4 linked regions of the Saccharomyces cerevisiae S288C genome follow. Changing the gene in region 3 together with the main gene of any one other region gives a genetic interaction. Each region holds a gene or a part of one and is shown on either strand. Other genes may lie near its edges.

Region 1 (4,017 bases), on a different chromosome or scaffold from region 3:
TGGTCCCCGTGGTGGCTAGTGCATTATCAGGATCTAACGTATTAACGGCTTCTTCCTTGATGCCCGTGGGTCCAAACGCGTCGTCTACTGTATCTGCATCAGCTCCAGCTTCAACAACAACGACTCTTCCTGCCTCTTCTGCAGCACTCTCTGCCGGTACCAGTTCTGCGTCAACAAATACTCCAACAGCTATACAACAAGAGATTGCTTCATCAAACGCTTCTGATGTTGCCAAGACATTGGCATCTATCTCGTTAGAGGCTGGTGAGTTTAATGTCATTCCCGGTATATCGTCAGTGATCCCTACCGTGTTAGAACAATCATTTGACAACTCCAGCTTGATATCGTCTGTTAAGGAACTTTTATTGAATAAAGACCTTATCCATCCGTCGATATTATTATTAACTTCTCATCTAGCACACTATAAAATCGTGGGATCCATCCCACGTTGCATAGCCATGCTAGAGGTTTTCCAAATTGTTATCAAAGACTATCAAACACCTAAGGGAACTACCTTGTCACGTAACTTAACAAGTTATTTGTCACACCAGATTGATCTTTTGAAAAAAGCTAGACCTTTAAGTGTTACTATGGGTAATGCTATCAGATGGTTAAAGCAAGAAATTTCATTAATTGACCCATCTACCCCCGACAAAGCCGCCAAAAAAGACCTTTGTGAGAAAATTGGGCAGTTTGCTAAAGAAAAAATCGAACTGGCTGATCAACTAATTATAGACAATGCCTCTACACAAATTGAAGAATCTACTACTATTGTGACATATGGTTCATCAAAGGTTCTAACTGAACTGTTACTGCATAATGCAATCAGTTTAAAGAAAAACATCAAAGTGATTGTCGTCGATTCGAGACCACTATTTGAAGGGCGGAAAATGGCAGAAACTTTAAGAAATGCTGGTGTCAATGTTATGTATGCACTTATTACAAGTTTGGATACGATATTCAATATGGATGTGGACTATGTGTTTTTAGGAGCCCATTCTATCCTATCTAATGGGTTCCTATATTCAAGAGCTGGGACAGCAATGTTGGCTATGAGCGCTAAGAGAAGAAATATACCTGTATTAGTCTGCTGCGAAAGTTTGAAGTTTTCACAAAGAGTACAATTGGATAGTGTCACATTTAATGAACTGGCAGATCCAAATGACCTGGTTAATATAGATTACGAAAATCCAGTCGAGAGACGCGGTAATAAAGGTGCGTTATTAAACCAATTTATCAAAGAAAGAAAATTTGAAAAGAAAAAGCTAGCAATGGAGAATAAGCCAAAGGGTAATAAAATTGGCGGTAAGAAAGGATCTGAAGGAGAAAGCAAGGACGCCAGTAATGAAGAAGACAGCAACAGCAAAAATATTTTGGATGGTTGGCAAGAGTTACCTTCGTTAAATATTGTCAACATCTTATACGATTTAACACCACCAGAATATATTAAAAAAGTGATCACTGAATTCGGCGCTTTGCCACCTTCATCTGTCCCTGTTATTTTAAGAGAGTACAAAGGTTCCGCATAAGCATATACAACATTCGTTAATGGTCGTCCACGTGTGTATACTACATATATATTATATATATATATATATATACATATATATATATATTACACCTAATACGATGAAAAAATACATCTAATGAAAAGAATTGTTTTTATCCTTAGCTTTCCAAAAAGCTTGGTATATATAACAAGATTTAGGCTAGAGAAATGATGTAATTATATAGGGCTATATACAGAGTAAAAGAAACAAAAACGGAGAAAAAAAGCAAGCAAAATGTTACTCTCAGTCATCGATATCGTTAGCTTCAGCAACCGCATCAGATTCGGCCTTGCTTCCAACAACTCCTTTAACGAAAGAAGCCACATTAGCAGGAGGCAAGATGGCAATCATTAATATAATATATTCGTAAATGGCTTCAGGAATGGATCTTTGGTAAATTCCCAATAAATCGGCTGGCTGAGGGTATACAGTCAATGCTTTATAAAACTTAGAGGCTGCTTCCAGTTCCTTACCTTGTTGCATGGATAATCTTTCACCATTTTCTACGTTGGTGGTAAATGTAGCTTCTCTTTCGGAGGGATCACTAGGGATGGGGTCCTTGGCTAATTCCATGGATAAGAATTCGGTAACCTTTTGCAGCTTCACTTCCTTAGCATGAGTTTTAGCTTGTTCTTCCATCTTGGCCTGCTCTTTGGCCCTTTGTCTCAACACTTTCCTGAATTGCGGGCTATTTCTTCTTTGATAGTCAAAGTAGATAGCATAACCGGTGGCTGATAGAGCTGCTATGGCTGTTGTAATAGCGAGGCCACGTAAGATAGGGTTCGACTGGGACATAATAGAAAATAAACTTTATGAAGGTGGCACTTGAGGCAATGTTTCTTGTAGGTCTAGGCGAAGGGACAATAGGTAAATAACGTAAATGTCGGCCATTATCAAGGTGAAATATTCCTGTATAAAAAATGTTATTCGGCGCGAGAAACTGAACGGGGTGACGCACTGCAAATTTTTCATGTTTTACATACTCAAGCATTACAGACTCGATGAGCAGAGATAAGAGACAGGAAATCCATTGAATATAGAAGCATAGATAAGCGATAATGGTTGCTAAGAAGAGAAACACGCTTAGAAGCAAAGTAAGTGCAAGAAATAGTCAAAATTTTGGACCAGACGTAGCGAACAATGGCATTCTGGACGAGAGTTATGACATAGAATCTGATCCAAGGGCCTTTCTGCACCAACCTAAAGAAACTAAAAAGGAAAAGCTACTTAACAGACAGAATACTTTCTTATCTAACTTGAAGGGGAAATCCACACTTAACGATGGCATAGCTGCCAATTTTGATGGTATTTCTAAATCTTCCATTAGACGTAGGAAAAGAAAGCTAAGAGAAGAACTAAAACCAAGAATGCAAGATCTGCTCACTTCTTTGGAGCAAGAAAAGGATTTACGGGGCATTATTGAAAATAGTAGCAAAGACATGAATAACGATGATGACATCGACATGGATTCTAAAATAAGGTTTGTGGACACAAAGGAAATGAACTTGAAAAAGATAGAACCTGGTTCTGTTAGGATAAAAAAGAATCAGCCAAATATCAGGAACCAAAAGGGTGCAAAGGCATTGGCTGCTAACGAAACTGCAAGATTCAATCAGGTCCTAACCAATCAAGATTTCCAAAAAAATCCATTTGGCGCCTTAAGAGAGGTTATCAAGCTGCAAAAACAATGAACATTAAATAGCATAGCATAACAATTTTTGCCAGTGTAATATATATTCCAGCAAACCTAGAAAAACATTCAGTTTCATATTTAGAAGAATAAAAACGTATGTATTGTTGGTCACACATATATAGATGCCATTTCTATCTCTATGTTCTTCTTTTCCTCAATGGGCCCTTTGGTTTGTTGAATTTCAAATTGCTTTTGTTTGGGAGATCTGGATTGGATCCATGATCGAGGCTATCTTCTTTATTTGTTGCCATAAGTAAGGACTTGTCTAGTTCCACAAAATCGCCAATTTCTACCACTTTACTAAATGCGATTTTTTGATCATTTTTCAAGTAGTTGATAAATCCATTCTTGTTAGAAGCATATATCATTCTATCTTTGACTTTGCTGCCAGAGGGACAAGAGTAGATAAAGAAACTTGAATCACCCTGCCTGAAAATCGTGTAACTTGGCCCGGGCAAGTCAATGTACAGTTCATCTACGGAGGGACATGTATCAGATTGCACGATCTGGATGGTTTCGTTCGAGGGATCGATTTGAAATATGATTAAATTTTTACCCTCGCTATCCAGTATTTCATTGATAGGTTTCTCAGAATTGACCCTGAAAGTTAACGATAAAGGCGAAGCACTGTCCTGAGAAACCAACTTGACGGATGTGTTTTTCCTTAAAAGTGCCTGTTGCTTATTGATTTCGATTTGCATTTCTTCATCATGTGTCAAGGGCTTATTCTGGCCAGCAGGACGGGCACTATCAAAATTTTTCAAATCCACCAAG
Region 2 (8,221 bases), on a different chromosome or scaffold from region 3:
AGAACGCTAACGACTTACCAAAATTGGTCGAAGGTTTGAAGAGATTGTCCAAGTCTGATCCATGTGTCTTGACCTATATGTCTGAATCCGGTGAACATATCGTTGCTGGTACCGGTGAATTGCATTTGGAAATTTGTTTGCAAGATTTGGAACACGACCACGCTGGTGTTCCATTGAAGATCTCCCCACCAGTTGTCGCTTACAGAGAAACTGTTGAAAGTGAATCTTCTCAAACTGCTTTGTCCAAGTCTCCAAACAAGCATAACAGAATCTACTTGAAGGCTGAACCAATTGACGAAGAAGTCTCTTTGGCTATTGAAAACGGTATCATCAACCCAAGAGATGATTTCAAGGCCAGAGCTAGAATCATGGCTGACGACTACGGTTGGGATGTCACCGATGCCAGAAAGATCTGGTGTTTCGGTCCAGACGGTAACGGTCCAAACTTGGTTATTGACCAAACTAAGGCTGTCCAATACTTGCACGAAATCAAGGATTCCGTTGTTGCTGCTTTCCAATGGGCTACCAAGGAAGGTCCAATTTTCGGTGAAGAAATGAGATCTGTCAGAGTTAACATTTTGGATGTTACTTTACATGCCGATGCTATCCACAGAGGTGGTGGTCAAATCATCCCAACCATGAGAAGAGCTACTTACGCCGGTTTCTTGTTGGCTGATCCAAAGATCCAAGAACCAGTTTTCTTGGTCGAAATTCAATGTCCAGAACAAGCCGTCGGTGGTATCTACTCCGTCTTAAACAAGAAGAGAGGTCAAGTCGTTTCTGAAGAACAAAGACCAGGTACTCCATTGTTTACCGTCAAGGCCTACTTGCCAGTTAACGAATCTTTCGGTTTCACTGGTGAATTGAGACAAGCTACCGGTGGTCAAGCTTTCCCACAAATGGTTTTCGACCATTGGTCCACTTTAGGTTCTGACCCATTGGACCCAACCTCTAAGGCTGGTGAAATTGTTCTTGCTGCTCGTAAGAGACACGGTATGAAGGAAGAAGTTCCAGGCTGGCAAGAATATTACGACAAATTGTAAGAAGTCTAAATGAGAAAAGGTGGTTCTGTAAGAGCAAACCTTACCGCCTTATGATCTTTTTCATTTATTCTCTGCTTTAAAATTTTGTCGTAATAAAAATAGTATGGTAATAGACTTATATATTATTTTCTTACACATTTTTGTCATATAGTTATATTCCGAATGTTTACAATCGAACCCATCATAAAAATGGACCTTTTCGTATTACCGCCCCCTTTGTAGAGGGGGAGGAACGGCAACTTCTTGACTATTACGACGTATCACCACCCCGTTAGATATACTATGGAAAAAACTATTAAAAACCATTATAATTCATTAATGACATCGGTCCTGAGGTAGTATTACGTATAACTTACCTGGCTCTTGGTCATAGCTTTTTATCCGTTTACGAAAAAAGGAGAAGAAGATTGGGCTTCCGCGGCTATTGTTTGGTTTATACCCCGCCGTATGTTGGTGCTTCTATAATTAGAGCGAAATAGGAAATACAAAAAATCCTTGGAGGGGAGGACCAGCCTCATCGGGCTAAAACTCCCTCAAAACCGGAGGGGCAACCAAAGTATATATCTCATTATGGCCGATACTTCTAGAGGCGCACTAACAGAAGCACCTCAGCCCCTGCAGGTGAAAGAAAGAGGTAATTAATTTTCCGGTTACTTACTTTCTCTCGCTATTGGGGAAAGCGTTGGTTCGAGGCGTTGAGGTCGAAGACAATCATTGTTTTCTTCTTATTTAAGTACATCTTTAGAAGAAAATTACACAACTGGAATGAGTAAATCAATACTTGCTTTGTGTTCCCATTGTTAGATACTCTTGTTTTAGCATGTGATAGCAGTATATAATATAACCTGCAAAATAATCGAAACGCGTACACAGGAAAGAGTACATAAATAACCATAGTATATTTCTGGACATATCTTATTACACAACATAAAATAGAATGTTTAACATGAATCTACTTTCTACACCTTCTTCTGAAGAGGGTTCTCCACAGAATAGGTCATCTTCAATGTCTTCTGTTGAGGGCAAGAAGGATAGGGACACCTTTACTAATTTGCAAAACGAATTTGATGGTAAAGTATTTGGCGTCTCACTCGAGGAATCACTGAAAGTTGCTCAAGAGGAAGTAATTATCCAAAAAAGTACAAATGAAATTGGTTCCATACCGGTGGTAATAGCAAAAAGTGGGAAATACCTAAAAGAGAATGCATTAGACACAACAGGAATTTTCCGTATTGCGGGAAGCAATAAACGTGTTAGAGAGCTACAAGCTGTTTTCTCTAAACCGCCCGATTATGGTCGTAAATTTGAAGGATGGTGTGATTTCAATGTTCATGACATTGCAACTTTATTAAAAAGATATTTGAACTCATTAAGTGAGCCTTTGGTTCCCCTAGCATTATACGACATTTTTAGAAATCCAATATTAGAAAACCCAAAAATAAATGAGCACAAAGAACAAATCATTAAGGACTACGAAGATATTTATATGCTCTTACCACAACAAAATCGCCATTTAATACTTTATTTAGCCGCGCTCTTGAATTTATTTGCAAGAAATGAAAAGAAGAATTTAATGTCAGCAAGCAATTTAGCGGCCATCGTACAACCCTCACTTTTGTCTCATCCCAAGGATGAAATGTGCCCGAAAGAGTATGAGGCTTCCAGAACTGTCATCGAATTCCTCATACTACACGCTTCAGATATAATACCGAATACGGAAAAAGCGAATAAGGACACCATGCCGCATGCAGGAACAGTAGCAAAGTTTAACAACATTACCGTTCCTGAAATGGCTATTGACTCCGATGAAGAAGATTTTGTGCACCCTTCAATAGATGACCATATGCTTCCAAGGTCACGTGCACTTTCTGACTCCAACAATTTTACCATACATCATCATCATCATCATCATCATGCACTGTTTCCTAGCCCAATAGATTTTGATAACAATGGGCTTTCTGTACCGAGATCCTTTAAAGGTAGAACATTGAGTGCAGAGTCCCTTTCTCCCAGACTTAGTAAATTACTTGGGAACGTTGGAAACAGCAGCAATACTGGCATCAAAGACCCTACAGAAAGAGTTCCTAGAGGTGAACATAAAACCAAACACAAACAACGACAGTCATGGTTGAGAAGACTCACTAGCCCTTCTAGAACGCAGCCTTAGCTTCCTAAGCACTGTGATCTGCTAGTCGATTCCGAGGTTCGGCGAAGAAATTGTCGTTGCCCCGCCAGGGGCCTTTTGCGATACTCGGCGCTTCTTTCAGCAATCTCGGTCCGCATCTCGGCAAGGGGGGGCATGACACGGGCCGCTCTGGTTGGTCAGTTCCTATTTTCTGTAACTTCCATTGTTTGGTTAAAGAATATATAAGTTATTGAAAAGCTCATAGGTCCCTTATTATAGGCCCTAAGGTTTTAGTTTCTCATCATAGTCATATCAGAAAAACCCTCCTTCTAAAGTTTTCCTCTTTTCTTATTTCTTTTTCATTTATTATTCATATTTATATAAATATATATTCCAAGTGCATGACATTATTGGATACACTTTTTCTGAACCTGAATTACCTTGGTAGATAATAAGATACAGATCGGGAACGAACAACAATTATAATATTTTTTAATAATGTTGAGAAATACTTTTTTTAGAAACACCTCGAGGAGGTTTTTGGCTACTGTAAAGCAACCTTCAATCGGAAGATATACCGGCAAACCTAACCCTTCTACCGGCAAATACACGGTCTCGTTCATTGAAGGTGATGGTATCGGACCTGAAATTTCCAAGTCTGTAAAGAAAATCTTTAGTGCAGCAAACGTCCCCATAGAATGGGAATCTTGTGATGTTAGCCCTATCTTTGTCAACGGATTAACGACCATTCCTGACCCTGCCGTACAATCTATCACAAAAAACCTGGTTGCACTAAAAGGTCCACTAGCTACACCTATTGGTAAAGGTCACAGATCTTTGAATTTGACATTGAGAAAAACATTTGGGTTATTTGCCAACGTTCGTCCCGCAAAGTCTATTGAAGGTTTTAAGACCACTTACGAAAACGTTGATTTAGTTCTTATCAGAGAGAATACCGAAGGTGAATATTCTGGTATCGAACACATAGTTTGCCCTGGCGTTGTTCAATCTATTAAACTGATCACAAGAGATGCCTCTGAGCGAGTCATTAGATACGCTTTTGAATATGCAAGAGCCATCGGCAGACCAAGAGTTATTGTGGTACATAAATCTACTATCCAGAGATTAGCTGATGGTTTATTCGTTAATGTTGCCAAAGAACTATCCAAAGAGTATCCTGACCTTACTTTAGAAACTGAACTTATTGATAACAGTGTGTTAAAGGTGGTCACCAACCCATCTGCTTACACAGACGCTGTTTCTGTTTGTCCAAATCTATACGGTGATATCTTGTCCGACTTGAACTCTGGTTTGAGCGCCGGTTCTTTAGGTTTAACTCCATCTGCCAATATTGGTCATAAAATCTCGATCTTTGAAGCTGTCCATGGCTCTGCCCCTGATATTGCCGGTCAAGATAAAGCGAATCCAACTGCCCTACTTTTATCTTCAGTAATGATGTTAAACCACATGGGTCTAACGAATCATGCTGACCAAATTCAAAATGCAGTATTGTCTACTATCGCATCAGGTCCAGAAAACAGAACAGGTGACTTGGCTGGTACTGCTACTACTTCATCATTCACTGAAGCAGTCATCAAGAGATTATAAAAGTCCTATTCTTTTCCCTCTCAGGTTTTTTCACGCCTTGAAAACAAATGACTATCCGTTTAATATAATGATTTCTGAAAGATTATGAAGTAAAAAAAAGCAAAATGCTTAGATATATAATATATACATACAATAAAAATTCCGTATCTACTCCAAACTTCTATGGCTTTGTCCTCAATGTGTTCTGATGTTTATTTAATAGCCTGAAGTTTTTATTAAGTATGTATACTTTTCGATATTTATTCTTTTAATAATGCTACAGGAGACCATAAGTGATAACTCAAAATGTCCCTCAGTGGACTTGTAAACCAAAAAAAAAAAAAAAGAAAAAGAATTAAATATATTATGTGTAAAAAGAAAACACCACCGTGTGTTATGTATATTTTGTTTATGTCTATCTATCATCTATCCTGCTGGCAGTCAATGTTCACCTTACAAAATTAATCATTGAAATTATTGCTTCCCCTTATAGATGTACTGATAATCGTAAACCTCGTCAACAAGATTGCTATTCCTCTTCCACGAAGTTATTTCGTCCAAAATATCATCCAAGTTAAATAATCTAACGGTTGGATATATACCTTGGATTCTCGGCAAGCCTATACCAGCGGACCCACCGTAACATAACCACATCTCATTTTTTGACTGTAAGCAACAGTCATTATTATGTTCATGTCCGCAACTGACACCCTTTATATTCCAAAGACTCAGGATATCAAGGAAGCTTTTGTAATGTTTGCCATTGATCGTCATTGAAACTTGTCCTCTAGACCTTGGCGTATCTACTGTTAAGGTAGACCTCTCATTATACTGCCCAATAATAGGAAATAAACCATGAGGCCTATATTCCGATAATGGAAAATATTGAAATGCCAAGCCAAAGTCTATTTTCCCAATCAGGTCGTTATAATCTTGTAGGAAATTATTGACGGGCGCAAATGAATCAAAGACGAAAAATAAAGCCTCTGATGGGTTTGTTTCGTCTTCGGTATCAATGTCTCTTTCCAAAAGAGTATTCTTCGTGAGCTTCTTTTTAAATGAGACTTCTATGGCCATATGACCCTCTTCTGATGCAACGTTGTTAAATGTGTAAGGTAAATTCCTGATAAAGTCTCTAATTTGTGCCGATGTGGCCAAATTGGATTCGTCAGAAACACCCAATGAAATTGCGTAGGGTATTTTATTAGAAATCATTGGTTGGACAACTTTCATAATGCACGTTTGATAGTCGATAGTATTATGTGAGTCTAACAAATCACCTGTGATCACAACTAAATCAGGGTTTTCTGATGCGAGTACCCTATCAATAAAATTTACTGTTTTTATTTCATTGATTACGGTCATGCTATTATCCGTACATTTGAAATGAAAATCAGTTATTTGGAGAATTTTGAATGATCTTTGTCCCCTCGAAAATTGTATATGGGGAGATGTTATTTTGTAATCTGCATCGACTTGGATATTAATGTCTTTGCTGGGTGTTCTCAAAGAACCTAGCAATCCATTAGAAAATTTGTGATGATGGTTTTTGGTTTCAAGCTTTCTTGTAATTGATATGGGCAGAGAAGGTATGTTATTTCTATGAAATTCATGGATAACTTCTTTCCAAGAAGGCCTCGATTCAATAAACGATGATCCTAGATATATTTCCAAATTAGTTATAGGAGCGTCATTATCATCATCATTAAGGATATACTTACACCATATGCCGCTCCCCTTGTATACCCACTCCTCACCGAACACAGCTATGTTATCTGTATCAACGGATATGCCGAAAAGCAGCTTCCACCATGACGAAGTAGGCTTTTCTCGTAGATACACATGATTGTGAAAGACAGAACTGTCGCTCGATTTCACCAACTTATTAATGTCTCTCAGCACTTGTAGGGGTATTAGTGCTGAGTCCCTTGCTATGGCTAGTTCTTTTATTGTGTTTTTTGGATTACTTTGGAAATCTTTCAGATGAACATATAAGTAACTGTTGTAGAATGGTCCAGACTGAAGTGAATACAATGTCTCTACAGTAATATTCTTAGAAACTCTGGTCCACAGAATGCTGTTTTTGTCTTTGATCTTTTTAGCAGTATTGGAGGGGTGTAATTTCGGGGCATACAAAGAACTACATTGCCTGTACCAATGGTAGCACCGCAGGATTTGAATATCGTCTATCATTCCGCCATGATATTCTGCTACATTATGATCCATTAATACATTTTTTGCATGTAGCTTTAGTGAATCTCTCGATAAATACAATGAAGTAATGCATAATATAAAAAGTATTCTCCTTAAAAAATTAAATCTTCTTCTATAATGTAATCTCATGCAAATATTTGAAGGGTATTGTTTGCGAAGGTCAATGAATGTGATAAGAGCTAATTGTTGGAAAGTAAAATAATCGAAAGGAATGAGAAAAAGGTAAGTTATTTAAATCTCTTTTGGAAATGAAACTAAAGCAACTTGAAAGAAATTTCAAGAAATAATGAAAACCTCGAATTAATCGACAAATGAAGAGTACTGCAGAACCGAAATTGAAAAAAAAGGTCGTAAAGTTGAAATGAATTGAAGTCAGAATTAAAATAGAAGGGGTATTGTTGCGGCTAAAGTAAAATAAAGAAAGGAGAAGTTAGAAAAAGCAACTCAATGATCTTGTGTTCGAGGCTATATTATAATAAGTTTAGGACTTGGCATTATTTCAGATCAAAAGTATAAAAATTAAAACTGTCCTTTATCTGTCAACCTTTTTATTTTTGTTTGATCCTTAGAGTCTAATTTATGTCCGTAAATAGAAGTTTTCGGATTGCGGGCGCAGTTAGCCTCCAAGCGGAGTTTCTATAGTATTGAAAACGTAAACTAGTAACATATATGCGGTTCAAAATTACTAGAGAAAATGAGATCATAGTTTAAAGAGACATACGTTATTTATCTGGCGGAAAGTGTATAGAAATCTATCTAATTATCAGAATCGATGTCATCGTCATTGTCATTATCGTTACCATTGTTAATATTGTTGGTGGCTTGTTCAGGATCTCCCATACCATCGAAAAATTGCGAACGCAATGTTTTTAATGAATTTTGGTCATCCTCAGCAAATTTTAAGCACCCGCTATTGCTTTTCAACGCTTCCGCGACTACTTCTTCCGTGGGAATTTTACCCTCTTCACAGTATATGAACATCAGCGGAGTTTCACTTGCGTACTTCGTGCCATGCTTGATGGCTTCTTGAACGACAGAAGGCGACGAACATTTTTTCACCTTGAATTCTGTTCCCAACGTATTACTTTGTATCCATGACCATGCACCGTTTCTGCTTCTGATAAAGTATGAATATGGCGATAGTGCTGCCATTGTGAGGATGTAGGGATTTTCGATCAGTCCCAATTGCTTTGCAGTGTTGATTATGTGTGTCTCTGGATGTGAAAGGTTCCATTCTCCATGCAGTTTGGAC
Region 3 (8,619 bases):
TCGATATTAGCATTTATTAAGAACCAATTCAATGCTCGCGTTCTAGTTATCCAGATGGATCGTGGCTCCGAGTACACTAACAAAACTCTTCATAAGTTCTTTACGAACAGAGGTATTACTGCATGCTATACAACCACGGCAGATTCTAGAGCACACGGTGTCGCTGAACGATTAAATCGTACTTTATTAAACGATTGTCGCACACTGCTTCATTGCAGTGGTCTACCAAATCATCTATGGTTCTCAGCAGTCGAATTTTCTACTATAATCAGAAATTCATTAGTCTCACCAAAAAACGATAAATCTGCAAGACAACATGCAGGTTTAGCTGGACTGGACATTACTACTATACTACCTTTCGGTCAACCGGTTATAGTTAACAACCATAATCCCGACTCGAAAATACATCCTCGTGGCATTCCAGGTTACGCCTTACATCCGTCACGAAACTCTTATGGCTATATTATCTATCTTCCATCATTAAAAAAGACAGTAGATACTACCAATTACGTTATATTACAAGACAAGCAATCCAAATTGGACCAATTCAATTATGATACACTCACCTTTGATGATGATCTCAATCGTTTAACAGCCCATAACCAATCTTTTATTGAACAAAATGAAACGGAGCAGTCATATGATCAAAATACAGAATCTGATCATGACTATCAATCGGAGATTGAAATAAACTCTGATCCTCTAGTGAACGACTTCTCGTCCCAATCAATAAACCCTTTACAATTAGACAAGGAACCAGTCCAAAAAGTACGTGCACCAAAAGAAGTTGATGCCGACATATCTGAATACAATATTCTTCCATCTACTATACGATCTCGTACACCCCATATCATTAATAAAGAGAGTACCGAAATGGGTGGTACCGTTGAATCAGATACTACTTCACCTAGACACTCGTCTACCTTCACTGCACGAAACCAAAACCGACCTGGTAGTACCAATGAGATGATTGATTTGACCTCACAGGATAGAGTTAATTATGGACTTGAAAACATCAAAACTACACGTTTGGGTGGTACGGAGGAACCATATATTCAACGAAATAGTGATACAAATATCAAATACAGGACTACAAATAGTACGCCCTCAATAGATGACCGTTCGTCCAACAGTGAATCCACTACTCCCATCATCTCCATAGAAACAAAGGCTGTATGTGATAATACACCCTCCATTGATACGGATCCGCCAGAATATCGATCTTCTGACCATGCGACTCCTAATATAATGCCTGACAAATCCTCAAAAAATGTTACGGCTGATTCTATTCTTGACGACCTCCCACTTCCTGACTTAACCCATAAATCTCCTACGGACACTTCTGATGTTTCAAAAGATATTCCACACATACACTCTCGTCAGACTAATTCCAGTTTGGGTGGTATGGATGATTCTAATGTTCTGACTACTACCAAAAGTAAGAAAAGATCATTAGAAGATAATGAAACTGAAATTGAGGTATCCCGAGACACATGGAATAATAAGAATATGAGAAGTCTGGAACCACCAAGATCGAAGAAACGCATAAATTTAATTGCAGCAATAAAAGGAGTGAAATCGATCAAACCAGTTCGAACGACCTTAAGATATGATGAAGCAATTACATATAATAAAGACAACAAAGAAAAAGACAGATATGTTGAAGCTTATCATAAAGAAATTAGCCAACTATTGAAAATGAACACTTGGGATACAAACAAATATTATGATAGAAATGACATAGATCCTAAAAAAGTAATAAACTCAATGTTTATATTTAACAAGAAACGTGATGGTACACACAAAGCTAGATTTGTTGCAAGAGGCGACATTCAACACCCCGATACATATGATTCTGATATGCAATCCAATACCGTACATCACTATGCACTGATGACGTCACTGTCAATCGCATTAGACAACGACTATTATATCACACAGCTGGACATATCCTCTGCTTACTTATATGCTGATATCAAAGAAGAATTATACATAAGACCTCCACCACATTTAGGTTTGAATGATAAATTACTACGTTTGAGAAAATCACTCTATGGTTTGAAACAAAGTGGTGCAAACTGGTATGAAACCATTAAATCATATTTAATAAATTGTTGCGACATGCAAGAAGTTCGCGGATGGTCATGCGTATTTAAGAATAGTCAAGTAACAATTTGCTTATTCGTTGATGATATGATATTATTCAGCAAAGACTTAAATGCAAATAAGAAAATCATAACAACACTCAAGAAACAATACGATACAAAGATAATAAATCTGGGTGAAAGTGATAACGAAATTCAGTACGACATACTTGGATTAGAGATCAAATATCAAAGAAGCAAGTACATGAAATTAGGTATGGAAAAATCCTTGACAGAAAAATTACCCAAACTAAACGTACCTTTGAACCCAAAAGGAAAGAAACTTAGAGCTCCAGGTCAACCAGGTCATTATATAGACCAGGATGAACTAGAAATAGATGAAGATGAATACAAAGAGAAAGTACATGAAATGCAAAAGTTGATTGGTCTAGCTTCATATGTTGGATATAAATTTAGATTTGACTTACTATACTACATCAACACACTTGCTCAACATATACTATTCCCCTCTAGGCAAGTTTTAGACATGACATATGAGTTAATACAATTCATGTGGGACACTAGAGATAAACAATTAATATGGCACAAAAACAAACCTACCAAGCCAGATAATAAACTAGTCGCAATAAGCGATGCTTCATATGGTAACCAACCATATTACAAGTCACAAATTGGTAACATTTTCCTACTCAACGGAAAAGTGATTGGAGGAAAGTCGACAAAGGCTTCGTTAACATGCACTTCAACTACAGAAGCAGAAATACACGCAGTCAGTGAAGCTATTCCGCTATTGAATAACCTCAGTCACCTTGTGCAAGAACTTAACAAGAAACCAATTATTAAAGGCTTACTTACTGATAGTAGATCAACGATCAGTATAATTAAGTCTACAAATGAAGAGAAATTTAGAAACAGATTTTTTGGCACAAAGGCAATGAGACTTAGAGATGAAGTATCAGGTAATAATTTATACGTATACTACATCGAGACCAAGAAGAACATTGCTGATGTGATGACAAAACCTCTTCCGATAAAAACATTTAAACTATTAACTAACAAATGGATTCATTAGATCTATTACATTATGGGTGGTATGTTGGAATAAAAATCAACTATCATCTACTAACTAGTATTTACGTTACTAGTATATTATCATATACGGTGTTAGAAGATGACGCAAATGATGAGAAATAGTCATCTAAATTAGTGGAAGCTGAAACGCAAGGATTGATAATGTAATAGGATCAATGAATATTAACATATAAAATGATGATAATAATATTTATAGAATTGTGTAGAATTGCAGATTCCCTTTTATGGATTCCTAAATCCTCGAGGAGAACTTCTAGTATATCTACATACCTAATATTATTGCCTTATCAAAAATGGAATCCCAACAATTACATCAAAATCCACATTCTCTACAGTATACATATTATTATAGCCTTAATCAACAATGGAATCCCAACAATTATCTCAAAATTCACCAATATCTCAGAGACTATATCTGAAACAAACAAAGACGTATAGTCCAAAGCAATATTCAAGGAAACTACAAAGTGAGATTAGCTACGTAGAAATAGGAGAAAAAGTATAAATTTAAAGTTAAATTCAGATCTCAAATTCTCTTAATATTTGAAATAAATCCGCTGCGTGACAAATCCCGTGATGATCTCGGAATATTTATATGTTACCATTTATACTTATGGTAGAATTATACTCACTAATGAATGTACGGTTACTATTTGGAACAAGTGGTCATCAATTGCCATAGTAACATTTTGAATGCTTGCATCGTGCATGAATACATACCGCATATATGTTTAAGTATGAATATACCTGTTAAAGAAAGTAATGAATCTGTATTGAAGAACCGTAGGTTTGACATGATCTGGTCGTTATATATACGCGTAATATGACTAGTCAAACTAAATGTATGACAAGTTCCAGAACTACTATTACATTGATCATAAGTAATAATACACAAATCAGCGTGTGTTTTATACTTCTCTTATATAGTATAAGAAGATCCATATTTAATCTTCATTAACACTACTTCTTAACCTCTAATTACCAACGGGTCAATGTTAGGATAATTGTTGGCATTCCATTGTTATTAAAGGGAATCAAAGTATATTAAAAATTCTTCCCAAGGATGTAATAACCTAAAAAAGGAAGCCCATATTTCTATATAATGTTATTAATATTTTCTTTTTCATATTATTGTCGCCACTCTTTATTCCATTACATTATCAAGTCTTGCATTTCGGCTTCCATTAAATTTGATGATTATTTCTCAGTCTTTGTGCCATCTACTCACACTCAATTTTAATATAGTGTTAATATGAATACTAATCAATGAGCGATCATTGGTTCCATTACAATAACGTTGTGATCGGAACTTATTTTGAAGTTATTCCTGTCGACTGCCTGATGTCAGTATTGAGGCTGTTTGATTATTTCTGAACATAATATCCTTTTCCTGTTACAAGTACATGCTGAACAAGAGATATATATTATGCTTTAAGATGGAGTATAATGGTTTTAGAATATTTTAAATTAAGTATGCATACACAAATAATCTACTTACTCACTATGATGCTACAAGATCATCCATTGGTTAAGAATGTTGAGTGATTCTACGAACAAGGTAACTTTTTTTCCATAATTATAAGTCGTCAAAATTGCCTTGGATAGCTTTGCTGGAAACTTTCTTCCGTTTATTCTGTAAAACGATTTCTTTCCAATCCTCTTTAATACGCTCTTCTTCAGCATTTTCATCGAGCTCTTCTGCTTTCAATTCTTCCTCTATAGCCTTCCTTTTTAAACTCATCTTTTCCTTTCTCTCGAGTTTCCGTTCTTTCGTCAATGTTTTATCTGACCACGCTAAATTCTTCTTCTTCAACTCACTTTTCAGCTTCTTTTTATCATTAATCAGGCTTATATTTTTTAATGTTTCTTGTCTCTCCTTTTCACGTTTTTTGTCCTTGTATTTATATTCATCCATATTAACTGGGGGATCGACCAACCAATTCCCTGGGAAAATCCCTTCTTGTTTTTCGGTGGCTAAGTACTTTGTTATCTCAGGCATTCTAGGCAGGCGGAAAAGACCATACAATTTCGCAATACCAACATAATCTAAAGATTGAAGCCTAAAAATTGAAGTTGCGGAATGATTTGAGTAGTATTTAATAAAGGCAACATATGCTTTAACACCTTTATCAAATCTATCCCTATCTTCTAGTATCCAATTTCTAAAGTCCTCGTAAAAGTTTGTTGTTATGCCCTTTACTTCCAAATCAAGTTCTTCAAGTTCCACATTTTTAACTTGCATGAAAGGAATAAAATCCTCTTCTCTGCCTTCATTAAGAAACGTAATTGCTTTACCCACTCTATTTGCTCTACCAGTTCTACCACATCTATGCATGAACATATCAGTATTGGTAGGGGGATCAAGCTGGATGACGAGATCAACGTCGGGTATGTCAATACCTCTAGCAGCCACATCTGTTGTGAATAAAACAGAATTACTTAGCGAATCAGTAAAAGCTGTTAGAGTTTTTGTCCTTGCCGATGTTTGAAGTTTTCCATGCAAGGAAAATATTTCTACTTCATTCACGAGAATATTCCTCTTTCCCAAATACTGGATAAATGAGTAGAAGTAGGAGACTGACACACATGTTGGAAAATATACAATACATTTCTTGAATTTGTAGTTATTCAAAATGCTAACCAAAAGTTGTAGTTTTTCGGCAGGATTTACGACACAGTAATTTAATTTCAAAGAGGAGGGCGCCTGGTTCTTAGAGTTAACGGTAATCCTGACAGGATTTCTAAGCCCTGTCTTAAAGATATCTGATCCGGCGCTACGCATAGTTGCAGAAAATAGACCCGTCCTTCTTTGTTTAGGCAATAGCCTCAGAATTTTTTCGGTATCCTTAATAAAACTCATATCCAACAATCTGTCTGCTTCATCCATAACTACCATACTGCATGCTGACGTCTTTACTGCTGGCATTTGTAAAAAGTCCAAAACTCTACCAGGTGTTCCAATCAGAATCTGCGGTCTATTCCGCAGAAAATTACTTACATCATCTCTAACTGTGGCTTCATTAGTACCAACCAGGAGCTGACATTTAATAGGGAACAAGTCGGAAGGATAATGTTCCAGAAATGATAGAACGACAGACTCAATTTGGCGTGACAATTCTCTTGTTGGAGCAATAATTAACGAGTGGAAGTGTGCTTTCTTGAATTTTGATGTATTCGCTTCTTCCTTTACAACTTTTTCTAGTACAGGTATAACAAACGCAGCGGTCTTACCTGAGCCTGTTACAGAATCAACTACTACATCCTTGTTGCCAGCAAGCATGGGAATTGTCGATGCTTGGACTGGAGTCATGGTCTCAAAACCCATAACATCGAGTCCTGTCCTTATCCAGGGAAGTAAAGAAAACCCGAGATTATCCCATTCCAATGACTTTGACATTGTTTTTATTGCTGCTGAGCTTTTAATATTATCTTACTACACCTCAAATCAATGGGCTCAGCTCATCTTGAAAAGCTCACTTTGTTTTTCAGTGAAAAATTTTTGAAAGCGAAAAGCCGGCTCAAAATAAAGAATAATATAGTATTCTCGAGGTGCCCACATGCAATCTTTACTGCCCTACTATAACCTCCCTTGAATGAGTAATTTCATTAGAAGGCTAGTTGGGAAAATGAAAGCGATTTCAACAGGTACCAATGCTATTGTTAGTAAGAAGGACTCCATTTACGCAAACTGGTCCAAAGAGCAGCTAATACGAAGGATCACTGAACTAGAAAACGCAAATAAGCCACATTCTGAAAAATTCCAGCACATCGAGGATAACAAAAAGCGCAAAATTTCGCAAGAAGAGGTTACGAGAAGCAAGGCGAAAAAGGCTCCGAAGAAGTTTGACTTTTCTAAACATAATACCAGGTTCATCGCCTTGAGATTTGCCTATTTGGGATGGAATTACAATGGCTTAGCTGTTCAGAAGGAATACACACCGTTGCCTACAGTAGAGGGTACCATTTTGGAGGCCATGAATAAGTGTAAACTTGTTCCCTCGATGGTTTTACAAGACTATAAATTTAGCAGATGTGGCAGAACAGACAAGGGAGTTAGCGCCATGAACCAAGTTATATCGTTAGAAGTCCGTTCCAATTTAACAGATGAGGAACAGCGGGATCCGACCAACGACAGCAGGGAAATACCCTATGTTCACGTTTTAAATCAATTACTACCCGACGATATTCGTATATCAGCTGTCTGCCTCAGACCGCCACCTAACTTTGACGCAAGATTCAGCTGTGTTCACCGGCACTATAAGTACATCTTTAATGGAAAAAACCTTAATATTGAAAAAATGTCTAAAGCCGCATCATATTTTGTTGGAGAGAGAGACTTCAGGAATTTTTGTAAGCTTGATGGCTCAAAACAAATTACCAATTTTAAACGAACAATAATAAGCTCAAAAATTCTTCCCCTTTCTGAAACTTTCTATTGTTTTGATCTCGTTGGTTCAGCATTCCTATGGCACCAAGTTCGTTGCATGATGGCCATTCTTTTCTTAGTTGGTCAATCACTTGAAGTGCCGGAAATTGTCTTGCGTCTGACTGATATTGAGAAAACCCCTCAAAGGCCTGTTTACGAAATGGCAAATGATATACCATTATTGTTATATGATTGTAAATTTCCTGAAATGGATTGGCAAGAACCTACTGTAGATGACTATAAGGCAATAAAATTCACGACAGCTACTGAAGCATTGACGTTACACTACGAACTTAAGGCCGCAGTATGCAATATTTTTAAAGATGTTTTGCCCACAGCAAATACAAACAACTTCTCAAAGACAATTATTAATTTGGGCGATGGAAGAGGTAAAGTAGTCGGTACCTATGTGAAACTAGAGGATAGAAGCGTTATGGAACCTGTCGAAGTTGTTAATGCTAAATACTCCAAGAAAAAGAACAACAAAAATAAGTAAAATAATATATAAACCTGTATAATATAACCTTGAAGACTATATTTCTTTTCATCACGTGCTATAAAAATAATTATAATTTAAATTTTTTAATATAAATATATAAATTAAAAATAGAAAGTAAAAAAAGAAATTAAAGAAAAAATAGTTTTTGTTTTCCGAAGATGTAAAATAGGTTGAAAGTTAGAAATTAGTATTATAATAGCAAAAAAAATTTAAAGTTAGAAATTAGAATTTAAGGCTCTACACACGTTTACGATGATATTGGACGACCGACACGAAAAGACAGTTTTAGGCTTTCTTTTGTCTTGCTCTTGCGTTGAAAGTACGTAATTTCCATTCGATTACTTACTCAACACTTGATATAGAGACCAACTATAAAATAAACTGTTTGGGAAGGAAAGCAGAACTCTTGTAATTACCTCATCTCATTATCAAGAAGCAAAATTTTAACTATGTATTTTGACCTTATTTTTGTACTCCACTTTTTTTTTTTAGTTTTT
Region 4 (9,409 bases), on a different chromosome or scaffold from region 3:
GGTTTTCGGAGTCTCTTTCTAACGCATGATTAATAACTTCATCAACGATAATGTCAGTTAAGCGGCCATCATCTAAAAGTAGCAACCAAACATATTGCATGTATACGGCTTTAAAGTCAGTCTCTCTCACAGAGAGCCTGATAAGAATTCGGAAAATGTGAGATATGTTTTCGGGGCCTTCTTCATCATCAGCCAAATACACATGTTGGTATAAATTAGGGATCCAATAAGACAAACCGCAAATGGTATGAGGGATGTAAACGTGAGGAATTACGTTGTTCTTCAATGCCTCCAAAACATAGATAAACATATAGGCTGTGAGTTCTGGATTAGACTCTGCAAGAGACTTTCCAATAACACCTAAAAATGTTGTAGTATCTTCGGGGACGTACACCTCGGGAGAGCGATGAAAATGGGAGCCAAAGTTCAAACCAAATGACGCCTCAGTGGCAGCTATTAGGTTATACGAACTGTTTTTCATTTTTTTACTCTCATCAAACAGACCAATAAGAGATACTAACAGTAGGTGGCACAATAGTTTTGTTCTCTCTTTCTGCTGTTTGTCCTTGTTGTTTGAATTTGGGGAGGAGGTACTCGAATTATTATCCATTTCATATTCACTTTCTAACCGGATCTGTGCGTAATAGAACATCTTCACAATTTCAAGGTATTTCGGACTACTAAAAATCAACCTTCTCTCGTCCTGAAAAGTTACTGTAAATTCAGCTGCCACTCCAGTTATTGACGAAACATGTACTTCAAATATTCGGCTAATTTCGTAGACATCATTGAATTTTACGTCGAATAAAGTACCCATGTCCCTTATTTTATATTGCCTAGGAGTTTCATGCAAGACTTGAAAGTAAATATCGCCTATTTTCAACGATACCGGCGTAAATCTATTTCTTTTTTCGTCATAAAGCGTGATATCATGCAGAGAGACACGAATATCTTGCAGAACCTTCAACCCTTGTCCAGTTATACCCACAGATTTCATAAGTCCTTCATCAGAGTTACTATTAATGAAATAATGAGGAATTTTCGAGGAAACATATACGTTGTCTTTGTCCAAACATTTTCCATAATTATCCATAAATGTCTCGTTTACGTTAAAGTAGTAACAGCCTATACAATTTTTGGGTGCAACTTCTGGTAATAGTCCCATAACCAAAGAAATAAATTTCCTCATATCAAGCCCTCCCTCGTCAAATTCTGTACAGTCGATTATTAAACAGTGTTTGGTGGTCCAGATTCGAGCATAAATTTGCAAGAACTTGTAAGCAACTGTATCAATGTCCACATGTCTGTCTGAGAAATTTGACATTGTTAACGTAATAATTGGAATGCCTTCACTTGAGGTGGACTCGTGAACGCTTGGGCTGTACGCTGTTGAAGTCTCAATGTTTCTGAACGCGTGCCTATTCATGAACTCATACAGTTCCGGATAGTCGTCCATATGTTCTCTTATGTATATTGGTATTTCATTGGAAAATTCCATTTTAGGTTGGCCTAATTGGCCAAGAACATCATCAATAAGTAAAAATGTGGTCTTATAGAAATCGTCACCATCAATGTCACCATCATCATGTTTTGCTTCATTTAGCACATTCCTTCTCACCTCAAGACCGTAAAGGTAAACAAAGGAATGAAGGAATTGATAGTCAAATGCAATTGGCGTTGGGTCTGTTCTCACTTGGATGTCTATCGTGCGATCTGTTCTACAAAGTTCAGCTAGGAATCTGAAAATTCTATCGCTACATTCCTTAAGAAAATCCTTTTGGGAACACAAAGCTGGCCATCTGGAGAAATTTTCTGAGCCATTGGCAATATTTTGGATAACTTTAGCCAAGCTGATGAAGGTACGCTTTTCGCTCAAGTGAGAAATATCTATGATATTTTCAGAATCAGGGCTGACTAAAGCAGGACAAAAAAACCGTAAAAACACGAAAGACCCAGCGGCGATAATTGCGTGATCCGGAAATTTTTCACACGCAACTTTATAAATGTTTTGGCAAATATAAAATAAAGGAGGGGGAAAATAAGATACGGAGTTGGATATGGATTCCAATAATTCATTCATGTATTTAACGAAGAGCTCTATTTGACGTTCAGCATCTGAATCTTCCGGTTTTAGTTTCTCAATTTCAAAAAAATCTCTGTTCTGGATAATTTTTTTTAGTAATGGTTGCAAAGTGCGAATCAAATATTCGTTACCCTTGGACCTGGCTAGCATAGATAATGATCTCGTAGCACAGCTATTTCTTCTAAGGATATCCGTAGGTCTGGAAGATTTTTCAATTTCATTTTTAATCAACTGTGCCACTACAATGTGGGTGGCATTCCTCGTTTCAAATGCATTTATTAAGCCAGCAGCATAAGCATCAATATCGCTAGCGGGACAAACCGCTGCTCCAAAGGACGATAGCTGGGGATGTTCAATCGTATATCGCAAAAATTTGTCTGCTGCCTCTAATTTTCCAAGGTCAGTTTTAGCCGTGTATGTCCGATAGTTCGTAACGATATTAATGAAGACCTCCAAAAATGCATTCCTAATGTTTCGATTTCCGGAATAGCCCATCGGTAAGGTGAACTGCAAACTCGCATCAACATTGGTGTTTGAAAGATTTGTTAATGAAAGTATTACATTGTCGTTGAGGACACTCATTTTGTGCCTCAAGAATACTGGGTAATTGTCACGATCACTACTTTTTTCAAGGCCTTTCATTAAGATGTTGAAATAAAACCCAAATATCACAGACCTAGATCGAGATAGTTCGGGATCTGACGCGGCAGGTGGAATCTCTAAGAAAGTATGTCTCGTGAGGTACGCAATAGCGGTTGAAGCTTCGATTGCCGTATCTATGTATAGAATATCCATGTCTCTTTTTACCAAATCCATTTCTTTTAGAGGTTTTGACAAGTTTTCGAAATCGTACTCTCTCGCAATACTCACTTGAAACCAATCAGTGATTTGCCTCAACCATTTATTTTTAACGTGAAAATGATTTTTGACACCTAAATTAACCTCTGAGTGCTGCAAGGCACTGAACATTTTGGTCATTTGAATAATTGCCTTGAGATATTTTGGACAATAGGCTGGTATTTTTTTTATTTCATCTGTCAATAAATCAATAAGATCTACAATCTCTGTGGAAAAAAGCATCATTACATAATTGTCATCATCACGACCTAGGATTGTCCGCAGCATTTTGATTATTTGTTCTAATAAAACATAGGAACTTTCATTTTCTGGTATTGATAAGTCTGAACAAGCAAGTTCTTTTAACTTGAGCCTCAAATTATTAAAAAGTAAGTTAAAAGACAAAGGATGCAGTTCTACACTTAGAATATCTCTTGAATTTTCTCTCGTTAATAAATCCGGATAGTTTAACCATTGGCATTGTTTTGAGATAAAAGAGTCTATATTTTTTTTCAATTCTGAAACGGTGTCGAGTAGGTATGGATACATTTCTTGCAATATCTTTTTATTGATGAATAGGATACCCGACAAAGAGGCTAAAATACCCGCGAAATTTCTGAAGTCGTTCCGTTCTTGTTTTTCTAAACTTTTACTGTGTGTGTAAGTATGCCACTTCTTATAGATCATCCTCATAGAATCAAGTAAGATAGCGTTAGGAATAGTAGCAAATCGTAAAATATTATTTCTTGTCCTCCTTTGGAAAGCAATTGAACCAGAAGTTGTGTAGTTGTCATGACACATCGCTTCTACAAACTCAATATTATGAACCCAAGTTTTATCAGCATCATCAATATTCCTCTCATGAAAATTGATTGCAGAAAGATACTCTGTGTAAGCAATCTTTAAAGTCTTTTCAATTTTTTGTTGACTAGAGTATAATGAAACAAATAGGGCCCTACCAACAGTCCCCATAATCAGCGGAAAGGTGAGTTTTTCAGAATCACTTATGTATTCCATGTGGTGTGAGGCCTCCGCGATCCCTGCTAAATGTGATCTAACCTTCATAAACTTGACAGTTATATCCAAGAGAATTTGACGCTTTTCATTATTAATTTTCAAATCGAAAAGGCCCATTGCAAATAATGTTACAGTGTAACTGCAAAGAAGATGATACCCTTCAATACTGATATTCTCATCTGATTCACCATAAGTAATAACATTCGATAATAAGGTATCCATGAATGATTGAGCAGTATTCTGTAAATCTACATCCGGACTTACGATGGCGACGAAAATCGGTTTCATAATATTTCTAAAATCCTGCGAAACCCATTGTAAATTCGAGTTTATATTGTGAGGAATGATGAAGTAACTATTCGGTCTCTTAAAAATACTGAAAATATTAATCATTATTCTTCTAGCATCTTGAAGAGTTGCTTCATTCAAATCTTTTGGTATCAAATGTTCTTGAATGTAATTATTTGTTGATTTCATGAATTTTCCTAAACTTTCATCGGAATAACGCCTCGTTCTTATTTTCTGCAAAGGCGATCGAATTCCGAATGCTGCCGACGATAATGGAGTAGAATTTGTTATGGCCATTGGTGTGGCACTGATGCTTTCCGTTTGCGGACGTTGTACTGGTGAAGATTTTTCCGTTCCTGGAGGTGAAGTCAATGTAGTCGGTATTTTATTCCTTATAATACTAGATGGCCCACCTAAAGCATGACGCGCTCTTGGGGCCACAAGATGTGACAAGTATGGATCAGAAGACAAGTTCTTTGGTGAACTGTTTAATGAATTAACGTTGTCAGAATTTCTTGAAGTACTTGAACCAACTAAAGACAGGGTGTTCATTGGACATATATCAGTATCCAGTCCCAGCGGAGAAACTGGTGTCATTGAACTTTGAGATGTAGATCCTGATCTTGACCGGGTTGTCGAACATAAAGAGGGTGAGCTCCCCTTGAAATGTTTCTTCGTACCATACTCATTGATAATTGTACCGTCAAGAATGGAAGCAACTATGTCGGTGATTTGCTCATCAAAATACGGAAATTCTTGTAAAAGAATATCTGCTATAATGGAGAATAATGTTTTGAAAAATTTAGAAATTTTAACCGCAATTGCCTTCCGCAATTCCTTCTTACTTGGTATGTCGAAGAATATCCTGAATCCTTCAGTATAAAGGCATAGCTTCTGCATGTTTAAATTGTTGGCCATTGTATCGATGCTCAGACGTGCCAGTAATAATTCATGATCGAATTGAATAGCTGAAGAGAAGAATATTAATTGTAATTGAACAAACGTGGTGGAGTTTTTTTTCAAACAAACCATCAAACTGTTATTTATTTTTGAATTCCAGTCTTGACCGACGCTTAAATTTGTCCCCATTATGGGGATGAGTCTCTTGGCAAAAAGTACTGAGGGTAAGTTTCTATCCACGAGAAAGACCGCAGAAGTCATTGTAAAGAATGATAGTAAGGCCCTCATTGTATCTAAGAGGGCAACATCTGATACAGCTTGATTCCCATTTAAATTTCTTAGCAACATCTTCACAAATTTTACAGTTTTTTTGGTTGAGGAAGGTAAAGAAGTTAATTTCTTTAAGCCTTGTGTAATATGTTTTATACCCGAAGTCTTTTCGGAACCTGTCTCGTGTGCAGTATTATTGAAAGAACTTGTTCTTTCTTTTGGACGATGCATAGTACAATCAGGAATATATTTGAATGATGTAGCGTTTAATTCATTAAAAAGGTCAATATCGAACATTGTCAAAGTAGTTAAAAACTTCAGTACGGATGTGTGTGGTAGTACCTCAGTATCATCAAAGTGCGTGTATAACTCCAAAACATTATCCAAACGAGTGACAGACAAAAAATGTTCGTCATAATCCTTACCAGTATGGCCAGTTTTGTGTGCATCGTATGAAGCGCGACTTTGTTGCTCTGCTGTGTATCCAGTTGGGGTGGAATTCGATGGTGAAGCAGCTGCGGCGGCGGCTGCAGCTGCTGAGTTCAACCGCTGTTGCAATTGTGTTGTTGGAGTTGGAGTTTGAGATAATAATGAAGATGCACTAATAGTGATGTTAGACATCGTGGGAGTATCTGGTAAGGAAGGGTCATATTCTCCTGGTTGAGTGTGAGTAGAGAAATCAGTTGTTGTTGAATTAGACGTTGAAGATGACAGTGAAGTAGAGGATTGAGAGTTTGTAGTCCATGAAGAATGTAGTTTTCTTTCAGACTGCTGTTGAATGTATGACTGGTGGTGAGAAAGCTGACGACTTAAGGATTTTGCTATTATGTTTTGATTGTTGTTATCCGATGATGATGAGCTAGGTGGTGACGATGGCGAGGAGGACGAAGGGGAAGATGAGCCTTGATGAGCATTTTGATTGGTGGTTATCATGCTATTCACATTAAAAGTCGAATGGATCTCCTCGAAAAGTGTATGGTTTAACGTGTTTAAGGATTTCGAGTGTTCATTGTTATTATCTTTTAATAAGTTGAAGAGTTCATAATATTCCGCAGGCCTAGCCATTATCCAAAACATTATTGCTTTGGCGCTGTAATGCAAAAGTAGGCAATGATAAATCGTTTTCCTTAACGTCACCGATAAGTTTTTGATGAGTTCCAAGTATTTCTTAAAATTATGCTTGCTTAAATAGATGAAGCTGAAAAGATCAAAGTGGGGCACTATGCTGTTATAAACGGAAGATGGCAAAGAGTGTGAATGGGAGTGTGAATGCGTGTGTGTCTGTGTTACGGGCACTTGCACACTCTTTCTGATAAATTCAAAATACTCGGACGGATTGGAAGCCGCTACAAATCGGAGAATATGGCCTAGAGTAGAGTCAATCATTTTACAATGAGAAGGATGGTTGTGCCTTGTCAGATAGGATTTGTGGCGGGGAAGAATCGAGGAACTCAAAGTCGTTAGAATGTTTCCATGAACATGACTGATCATATTTTGTAAAATTTGCAAAGTTCTTGTATTGAACTTCAACTTCGCGCAACTCTCAAGCAATTTCGATGCCAGTTCCGGTATCAGTGCCTGAGGTTTGCTCTGGTGGAAAAAGTGTTTGTTGCCATTGGAATGAGTCGACGAGTAGTCGGGCAGAATACTGTTAAGCTTTGGTCTGTACTTCTGTTCTTGGTCATGTTCTACGTGAGTCGAAATGTCGTTGTAATGAAGGCTTTCTTGATTTTGCCAATTATACTCTAGCGCATCACTTAACAATCTTAGTATAATCAGTATTGATTCAATAACGTCACTGCTACCCTTATCTGAAATGATTTCGTGCCCTTGAAGAAGCGATTCTATCAACTCCAAGGTGCCTTCCACCATAGCATTTGCATCTCGGGAAACGGTAACGTTAATGAGCACAGATCTGCATGAAATGAATGAGGAATACTCTTCCACTTCCGAATAGGTACTTAGATTAGACTCCACCGGAAGGATCGGGAGAATTCTTTCAAAAAGAATATGATTAACCAACGTCCGAGTCATGCGGGATGACTTGGAATCGGTCCCGTGTTCTTTCTTCTTATTCTTAGTGGGCTGGGACATGCTTCTCCCTGAAGAAAGATAATGTATACAGTTTAGTTGATATCAAAAAATGGTGTAACGTTGGGGGAAAAGTAACACTAAAGGAGAAAAGCAAAACGAATAACAGAGGACAATGCTATATGCTAGTGTGCTAAAATGTGGTTAAATGTTTGCTACAATTGGTGAAAAAGTACTTAAGCCTTGTTCTGATTTTGTTTTCGCTTTTTCGGTCTTTTGTTTCCCAGGAGCTCTAGACAATGAAGTAAGCGGAGAGAATGTAGGGCAATAGGATGTGCTTAACTCCCCGGTTATATGTAGAATAGATAATCGTTGGGCAAAACTTTTCACAAGAAGACACAGCAAAGCTTGGGGTTTTCAAAAAGGCGTGCGAGCTTTATTGTGATGGAAATTTTCGTTTCATCAAGGGAGCGTTCTAGAAGAAACGAGAGCTCTACGAACATTTCTGCGCCGCGGATTGATTCACCGATCGGGTGACCCTTTTTGAGGAGCTACTTTGGGTTGGAATCACACTAAAATGTGTAAGGCGGTCAGTATAGCAAAGAACTTGGGGTGGGACGCTGGTGCCGTGCAAGAAAGGCTACGTGAACCTCGTACTAGTCCAAGATATTGGCTCGATGCATTAATGGCAGACTCTTATCTCGCTAAGATGTTTGAAGGCACATCGGTTCTAGAGGTCCAAGTCCCAACCCAAGTCAAGGCCAAGCAAGGCAAGGGGATTTAGAATAGTTCTATCATTCTGCGGGGAATGAGCGGAAGAGTAAGAGTATTGGTTCTGTTGTGGATGACACTTACAAGGGTAACTACTGTTTTTCTTGTTTTCTTATTTTCTTGTTTCCCTGCTTTTCTCTGGGATCTGTGCGGAAGGCGTCATGTCCCTGCTCGTCCCTGATTGTCCGTACTTTTCTGGTTAGCCGTATATCGTTTGAAAGTAGATGGCATGTATGAAGAGCATGATGCTAGGTGATAAGTAATGAGAGGCCTTAGGAAGTAAAGAGTTTCGAAAAGGGTTATTTTATATTTATTGTATTTATTATATTTAATATATTTATGTGTATGTGAAAAGGTACTCATTGCTGTATAAAAATAGAGTTTGACCTAGAGTTCTTCCCAAGTCAGGGCTTTTTCATTGTCGTCACCGTCATAAGAGAGTGAAATGGATGTACTGATGATACTAGAGTCATCCAGTTCTGGTAACGTATCGATTTGAAAGGAGTAAAATGGCTCTTGGGATGCCTGTAAACTTTCTGCAGATAATCTTGAAGGTGGCCTTAAGTTAATCATTGGAGAAGAGCCATACTTGCCCAAGAAGATCACTTCTCCATACTGATTTTCAATCTCGATAGTGGAGCCGGCCTCTAAATCAAGTGCGTATGGAAAGTATCGGTATTCCTTGTACTCCTTTATTCCTATTTCATGAGGACCCATGTCAATAATTTGCGTGGTTGGCTTATCGCCAGCGTCAGTAAACTTCAGTTTGCAGTTGCCTGCCAAAACAGAGTTTGTGTTGTTAAACAACTGGAAATACAATGAATTGTCCCTTTGGTTCATTGTGATTTGCAATGAGCGCTCATTTGGGGGTTCCACTTCTATTTTAGTTTCCTTTTTCGAATGGTCAGAGGCGATTTCCGTCTTACTGTCACATTCTTGTGATAACCTCTCATAGTCATGGTAACGTTGAAAAACGTCCTCAAGTTGTTTGACTGTTTTCAACTCTGTGAAAAAGTTCACTAGTTCGGACCTATCTTCTGGTATGTCAATCGTACCGCTTATTCTGTGGTTAGGTTCTTTATTTGTGACCTTTTGCTCCAATTCCAACTTATTTAACGATTCTTCCAACTTAAGGAGTTGTTTCATGAAGTTATCCAAGCATTCTCTTGACACAACCACATTAGAGGTGGAATTAGGGCTTATCTCTTCTTC

The links.
Region 1: mutations in DEG1 (region 3) and SLX9 together harm fitness more than expected from each alone (negative genetic interaction), as found in Saccharomyces cerevisiae (4 studies listed by BioGRID, with this or other methods).
Region 2: mutations in DEG1 (region 3) and IDH2 together harm fitness more than expected from each alone (negative genetic interaction), as found in Saccharomyces cerevisiae (4 studies listed by BioGRID).
Region 4: mutations in DEG1 (region 3) and IRA2 together harm fitness more than expected from each alone (negative genetic interaction), as found in Saccharomyces cerevisiae (3 studies listed by BioGRID).

Annotation. Positions count from the first base shown.
Region 1 is NC_001139.9:642,372-646,388, reverse strand, and holds SLX9 (Slx9p), read left to right. Parts: upstream 1-2,608; coding exon 2,609-3,241; downstream 3,242-4,017. Other genes in the region: GCD2 (translation initiation factor eIF2B subunit delta), read left to right, coding at 1-1,529; TOM complex receptor protein TOM20, read right to left, coding at 1,794-2,345; twinfilin TWF1, read right to left, coding at 3,381-4,017. UniProt on the Saccharomyces cerevisiae protein: Involved in ribosome biogenesis. Required for normal pre-rRNA processing in internal transcribed spacer 1 (ITS1). May be involved in the movements of the replication forks.
Region 2 is NC_001147.6:576,584-584,804, forward strand, and holds IDH2 (isocitrate dehydrogenase (NAD(+)) IDH2), read left to right. Parts: upstream 1-3,666; coding exon 3,667-4,776; downstream 4,777-8,221. Other genes in the region: EFT1 (elongation factor 2), read left to right, coding at 1-1,043; GTPase-activating protein BAG7, read left to right, coding at 1,981-3,210; SIA1 (Sia1p), read right to left, coding at 5,230-7,098; RUP1 (Rup1p), read right to left, coding at 7,726-8,221. UniProt on the Saccharomyces cerevisiae protein: Performs an essential role in the oxidative function of the citric acid cycle. Also binds RNA; specifically to the 5'-untranslated leaders of mitochondrial mRNAs.
Region 3 is NC_001138.5:140,341-148,959, forward strand, and holds DEG1 (pseudouridine synthase DEG1), read left to right. Parts: upstream 1-6,790; coding exon 6,791-8,119; downstream 8,120-8,619. Other genes in the region: ATP-dependent RNA helicase SPB4, read right to left, coding at 4,774-6,594. UniProt on the Saccharomyces cerevisiae protein: Formation of pseudouridines at positions 38 and 39 in the anticodon stem and loop of transfer RNAs.
Region 4 is NC_001147.6:169,150-178,558, reverse strand, and holds the start of IRA2 (Ras GTPase activating protein IRA2), read right to left. Parts: upstream 7,490-9,409; coding exon 1-7,489. Other genes in the region: ATG19 (Atg19p), read right to left, coding at 8,585-9,409. UniProt on the Saccharomyces cerevisiae protein: Inhibitory regulator of the Ras-cyclic AMP pathway. Stimulates the GTPase activity of Ras proteins.